Linked DNA regions of Saccharomyces cerevisiae S288C. Changing the gene in region 2 together with the main gene of any one other region gives a genetic interaction. Each region holds a gene or a part of one and is shown on either strand. Other genes may lie near its edges.

Region 1 (2,693 bases), on a different chromosome or scaffold from region 2:
TTTCTTGAAAAAATGACCATCACTAAATGACCTTTTTTTGCGAGTAGCTTCATCCCTCATTGGTTAGGGATATCTGTACAGCTGCTGCTTCTATATATTTATATGTGATTAGCAATCAATATACCCTATTTTAGATGAATAATTTAAAGCAAAGGGTTAAGCTGGTGTTGAAATGCTCGAAGAAAATAAACTTGACTTAAAATTTAGACCAAATATTTCACAAATATGATTCAAAACGGAGTGTTTACAGCTATCTGTCCTAAATTTATCCCGTCTCATCATGTAAACAATAGCTTTTATAACTCAATAATTTTCCTTTTTTCTTCTTGTCACTTTTGCGGCTTTTAGAAGACGCCTATCGCTACACACGACGATGGACCACACATCTTATTGTAGTTTGAAGTTTATGTAAACTGTATACATATATAATTCATACATGCTTGGTTATGGTGGACTAACGTACACATTGCATGACAGCAAGCCTTGTTTGCTTATTTTTGCCTATCTTGCTCTGAAATGGCGCATTATCATCGGAAGAAAGGATCACAGTCATCAGAGGAAATGTAGGCTAACGGTCTTCAGCCCATTCATTTTCACGCCTAATGGCAGCCTCCTCCTCTGGAGTGAAGTCGTTGACGATATTAAACGTTCTTCTAATTTCCTCGGGAGACCTTCCCCTGATCATTTCAGCAACCACCTTGCAGCCAGCGTCAAGCAAGGGCTTGATGTTGAGGTAGTTTGCCGCCAGAATAATTTCGTATAGCATCTCTTGGTCCACTTTCAGGAATTCTCTGTCCCATGAGTCCACGGGAGCACTCTTTCTGGAATCGTCGTCATCTTCGTCAGGGAAGTTAGAGTCTCTGTGGTGCTCGGCCCATTCGATAACCTTCTGCAAAACGGAAGACCGAACATTGGGCACGGGCATCACAATCTCGTCGTCATCCTCATCGTCGTCGTCACCGTTATTGTTGTCTTTGCTTTTGTGGTTCGTTTCCGAGTCTGAATCTGATTCTGAATCTGAGTTGTTTTGTAGGTTGCTGTCATGCATATCGTTCAGATAGTTTTTCAATAGCAGGGATCTCTCCGCGATTTTCTTGTCTACGGTGAATCGTTCACCCTCACCACTCACTAGGACAACATTAGAAGTCACCATATCTGCGCTACGTTTGTTAGTATTCCTGTATTGTTTATAACGTCTTTTCTGTTATATCTTTGCCAACGTTGGGCTATCACTTTCTCTGCCCTCAATATATCAACCTATTTCTTCCCTTTCTCTTCTTTTCTCCAAGACGCCCGTTAAATCGCTGCAGGGTAATGTCATGTTACCTATTGCACACTTACTGTATTAAAGATTACGCTATATATATATATATTCTGGTGTGAGTGTCAGTACTTATTCAGAGATTAAGGCTTGAAGGAAAACGAGCTGGAGACGCCAAAGTTGCTGTATACGCTGGCGCTCAGATCATCGAGCGGCTGCACAGAATCCAGAGTGGCCAGGTATTCGTTCACGCTGCCGCTATGGGAAGACCCGGCAGTTGTTTGAAGCATTTCTTGGCAACAGTCTTTCATCGACATAGCGAAAACTGCCATTTGATACTGTTGCTGATCTTCTTGGCCAGGTTTTTTCTTGGCTATTGTCTTTATGCCGACCTTGTTCATTATGAAATGGAATGATTCATTTATTAGAGACTCTAACACTATGGATGTTGCTGTGCTTTCGATACATTGGGTCAGTTCATTCACCAATTGATTAAAAACTAGTGTGTTAGAGTGAAAACTTGTTAAAGCATCCGCGTCAAGCGTCTGTGACAGAAGAAACTCCTGTCCACTGGAATCTTTAGGAAGCAAAATAGACGTGAGGTTATTATTATTTTGCTGGAATATTTGGGAATTCGTGTTCCGGAATATGTTCGTGAGACGAGAACTAAATTCTTCTAACGTTAGAGTATCTCTTGGGTGTATGCCGTCAAATTCAATTTCGATTTGATTTGTAATTATTTCATTGTAACTCAACCACCCCTTGTTAAGAATCCACCATGATAGTGATAGGAAAGCTTGCTCATTAATATACACTTCCTGGCCTTCTTTCTTTGACTTTTTTGCTGCCATTACCATTGCATCATCCGCTTTGTCCTCCGGATCGCTCCACCACGATGTAACCCAGTTATAGAACCTATTCTGTAGTTTGTTGCAGTTTTCCTGCTGCATGGTTAATTTTATTGCGGAGTCCAGGTACTCGTTTCTTGTCAGGATATTTAGTTGCAGTCTTGTTAAAAGAATCAGCGACGATACTGTGTACGTCACTGTCACCAGCTTGATCAAACTCTTTAGTTCTAACTCGTTCCACAACTCAGCTTTACTTTTTAACGGCGAACTTTCTCTGCTTTCACTAGACTTTGCTCTAGTCAACTGGTTCTTTTGGTCCTTTAATTGGGTAACGATGCTGTCCAAATTCAAATCGTTTTCATTCAAAACCATTCTCCATACAGGAAGTAGCTCGTATATTGTGTACAACGAGTCTTCCTGTGTCTGCTCGAACCTTCTTTTGATCTGTTCTTTGATGAAGTGTTGCTCAGTAATCCGTAACTGCTGTTTATACAACCATCTCTTCACGAAAAACACTACCACCGACCCTGTGGTAAATAAAGCAGCTATTCCAGTCAATGAAATGAGTACCTTTCCTCGATGTC
Region 2 (4,456 bases):
TGTTGGGTTCTTGTCTATTTTATGTATATTCTATATTTCAAGGATTACGGAATCGATAAGTATTCTATTATGTAATCGCCTTTATATACAATGGCCGTGCGCGTTTATATAATAAAGTACCTTCGCCCTTTGGATTTATTAGTACTGTTGAGGGAACAATATTGCAGATTATGGATCTTGTACGACATTTTATGCGTACGCCCTCTTCATCATCGCCGTCAATATAATAAGCTTTATCTTCAGTCCCCCCCTTGACATCCCCCTTAGCGTGGGAAGGGCTCCGTGGGGGAGTAATAGCATCTAATGGTCAAGAGTTTTATCGAGACGAAAAAGAGGAAGGAAAAAAACTGAAGATGGAAAAGGCTAGTGATACGCTAGCGATTTATTTTTTTCCTGGAAATAAAATAAATGTAAAATGCTATTATGTATTTTTCATTATATATGTAAGCATATATATTCGAGGTACTACGGATGTTTTTGACCAAGAAAAGACCACACACAGGTCCTAATCATTGAGATCGAATTTGTACATTTTTACGCACCCAAATTCATCACCACTAAAGCATTCTGAATCTCCAATACAAACACAAGCGATAGGGGCGACTTTATCACCCAAGGATTGTGTTTGTGTGTGCTGAGTTTCTCTTTGTAGTCTTCGACCGTTGAACGTGTGCATACACTTCCCGCTTTGCAAGTCCCAGACCTTAATGCTTCCGTCGTGAGAACCACTTATAATTCTGAAGTTGTCAGCGGCGATGTCCCAAACACCTTCCACGTGCCCAAACTGTGTTCTTATGCATTTACCGGTTTTGACGTCCCATAGTTTGATTGTGTTATCCAGTCCGCAAGATAGTAGATGTGTTGGATAAGGTATGTTTTCATCTAAGACAGTTTCTTGCTCGTTCGACGGTGTGTCTGATTCGTCTGCACCATCAGTCATTGTTGGGTCATCCTGCGGAGAGCTGCCATCAGAAGTGTTGTCGGTGGCTAGATTCTCTACATCCTTAATGGTAAGCGGTATGATCTTTTGCACCTGCCCTACATGACCCCTGAACACTTTTAGGCATGAATTGGTCCTGATATCCCACATTCGGATTGTGGTATCGTCACTGCAACTAAAACATGAAAAGCTTTTCGGATGCAATTTGACGCAATTAACCCATTCCGTGTGGCCTCTCAAGGTGTAGCATGTCCTGGACTCCACGTGCCATACCTTGACCGTCTTGTCAGCACTGCCGGAAACGATAACCTTCTGGTATGAATCTACGCTCAGAACGCTATCCGAGTGGCCTCGATACGTGGAAATGCATTCACCGGTTATGTAGTTCCAAACACGGATCGTCTTGTCGAGCGAGCCCGTAATCAGCTTTCTATCGTCAAAATATAATGTCTTGACGCCGTCCGAATGGCCGCTGAGCCTTCGTATTAGCTTCCCCGTGAATAAGTCCCATATACCTATGGTGGAGTCGTACGAGCCTGTGAACAAAAGCCTGTAGTTAAACTGGAGCGTTAACACACCATCCATGTGGCCCTTGAATTCCTGAATCCTGCAGTGGCCCTTTCTCCAGTTTGACTCCACTTTGAACCGTTCTCTGTAGATGACTTTCCAAGGTCGCGTAGTTTGCGTCTGGATATCTGCGTTGCTGCTAGATCCTGTACTATTCTGTTGTATCCGCGCACGTTTCATGTGCAAAAGAGGCAGCCCCCAGCCACAGTTGGGACATTTCCTGTCTATGTGCTGCTCGCACATGTGGTACCATACCCTGTCGTCATCCGCGAGCTTCTGCCACTTGCGGCACACTCTCGTGGCGTTGCAAAGAGATTGGCAATCCAGATAACTCAAGATCTTCAGCGACAGCTCCTGCGGCAGAATGCTGATGAAGTCGATCTTGATCATGTGTGTAACGAGTGACGAAATGTAGGAAAGCTGTGGGAAGCAACTCGTCGATAGGATCCCATCCAGAATCAGCTTCCGTATCTTGTCATTGGAATTGCTGTACTTCGAGATAATGTGGTGGATGTCGGATTGCTCCTGCAGGGGTAGCTTCGCGATATTAGCATTAATCTCTTGCGTTCGTTTCAAATCCTGCTTGTAGCACGCTGTATGAGTTGGTGAGAACTGAATGTCCGGGTTATGCCGATAGCAGAACTTGGTGAAGTTATATTCTGGCAATGGCTGTACCCTAGTGCCGCTGTCGTTTGTCGCCAAATCGGGTGATGACGATGGCGACCTCGTCGCCATCGTCATCTTCTTCTTACCCGATGATCCTTGTGCCAAATCATCGCTACTGCCCGTAATAAGCAATCTCTTTAATGGTGGCATCATCGCCGTATCTGTCATTTCACTGCTGTTATTACTATTACTATTGTCAAGGTCGTCCTTGTCCTTGTCCTCGAAACTCATCATCCTTTGCCTCTCTCTCCTCATGCCCTTCTCCTTTATAAATCACCAAACACACACCCCTTTACCGATACTCAAGCCTCTTCTCTAAACTTCTTTAACTGCAGTCTTCTCTTACGATACAGACTGCAAGGTTGCTTTCTTCTTACGCTGATGAAAAAAAATAAAATATCTCCGCGCAAACTGTGGCTTCCCGATCACGTGCTACAACCTCATTTCTACATTAAAACACACACATTGTACCACACACGCCAACACACATATACACGCACAATCACTCCCACACATATACAAACACACGACATATGAATATATATAGTACACGCGCCAATCCATTAGTTTTTTTTTTGGGATACAGACGCACATCATGGCTTCTTGCCCGTTTAGTGCAATACAATAGCCTTGTGTTGCCGTGCCACACCCTGCAGTTATCTCTCCCAGATCTGTCTTTCCATCCCCTTAGTTGCTATCGCTGCAGCCATTTGTTCAAAATCGTTATCACCATCATTCATCATCACTTATCATTATCATGCACATGCTGCCAGCCGCTGCGGCTGGCTATGTGTTGGTAGTCATCGAGTCGGAAGCCCATCATCGGTGTGGGTGTGAGGCATTTCTAGAACGGATTTTGGGTGCCGTTTGTCACGTGGGACGGGATGCGGTTTTATTTGACGCAAGTTCCATGAACATCATCGCACGGTTTCGCAACAGTTTGGGACTGTACATGTACAAGATGGGTTTTCTCCTTTGCTTTTTTGTTTTGTTTTGTTTGATTTGATGGTTGGTAGTTATTTTTTTTTTTTTTTTAATTCAGTTGGCAGCAATGGAAGGGCTTTACCATAGCACCGTATCAGATGAAGTTTGCTGACCATCTAACCGAGTCTGCCATCCCGGAATGGAGGGACAAATATATTGATTATAAGGTCGGCAAGAAGAAGCTTCGCCGCTACAAGGAGAAGCTGGATGCCGAAGAAGAGCAATCCAGCTCCTACCGGAGCTGGATGCCCTCTGTGTCGGTATACCAGACTGCATTTCAGCAGAGAGAGCCCGGCAAAAGTCGCAGCGACGGAGACTATCGCTCCGGACCTGCGTTCAAGAAGGACTATTCTGCTTTGCAGAGGGAGTTCGTTGCTGACTTCATTGAAGACTGGTTGATCTCGTTCCAGTTGAGTAAGTGTAACGAGTTTTACCTTTGGTTGCTAAAGGAGTGCGACAAGAAGTTTGAGGTTTTACAGTCGCAACTGCACTATTACTCGCTGCAGAAGAATTATGAGCGCGACAACTTGAACCGGTCTAGTTCGAATGTTGACATGTCCACGAGTCTATATGCGGCAGGGCTTGCTGGTCGTTCTGACTCCAGGGTCAATAGCATCGACAGCGATAGCCGGTCTGTTATGTATGGGTCAATGCCCTGCACCAAAGAGGCCAAGAAGCCGCGTTTGTCGCTGCTAGCGTACTGTCAGAAAGTTCTTAAGGACAATAGGCTGCTGCCATCGTGGCCCAAACGTGGATTTTCTCTGCTACAGGACTTGAGACAGGATGCGTCCTCAAGAGGCCGCGAGACGTTTGCTTTTGGCGCTTCTTTTCTGGAGACTATGACGACAACCCAGGCTAGAAACTTGTTAAGCAACGCTATAATCGAGTACTATCTGTACTTGCAATTGGTCAAATCGTTCCGGGATATCAACGTCACCGGGTTCCGTAAAATGGTCAAGAAATTCGACAAAACGTGTCACACAAGAGAGCTGACCACGTTCATGTCGTACGCCAGGACCCACTACACCCTTTTCAAGCACGCGGATGCCAACGTGCAGTTGGTGGCACAGAAGATGCAACAAATAACCAGTTCGCAACCAACACCCACTTCGGAGCTCTCTTCCGCCCAAAGAGACAAAGAGCCCATCACTTGGTTGGAAACGCAGATCACCGAGTGGTTCACCACTGCGTTGACCAATTCGCCTAAGGACAGGAAGCACAATACCCATAAGTTGAAGAAATTGACCATTCAGTACTCTATCTCCGAACAAATGGTTCATAGAAACAACAGATCGATTG

The links.
Region 1: of MET30 (region 2) and SKP1, extra expression of one rescues a mutant of the other (dosage rescue), as found in Saccharomyces cerevisiae (3 studies listed by BioGRID).

The regions. Positions count from the first base shown.
Region 1 is NC_001136.10:1,124,866-1,127,558, forward strand, and holds SKP1 (SCF ubiquitin ligase subunit SKP1), read right to left. Parts: upstream 1,154-2,693; coding exon 569-1,153; downstream 1-568. Other genes in the region: YSP2 (Ysp2p), read right to left, coding at 1-60; PEX3 (Pex3p), read right to left, coding at 1,405-2,693.
Region 2 is NC_001141.2:266,623-271,078, reverse strand, and holds MET30 (ubiquitin-binding SDF ubiquitin ligase complex subunit MET30), read right to left. Parts: upstream 2,429-4,456; coding exon 506-2,428; downstream 1-505. Other genes in the region: YIL046W-A (uncharacterized protein), read right to left, coding at 2,606-2,770; SYG1 (Syg1p), read left to right, coding at 3,256-4,456. UniProt on the Saccharomyces cerevisiae protein: Substrate-recognition component of the SCF(Met30) complex, an E3 ubiquitin ligase complex that mediates the ubiquitination and subsequent proteasomal degradation of target proteins. Negatively regulates sulfur amino acids biosynthesis genes expression.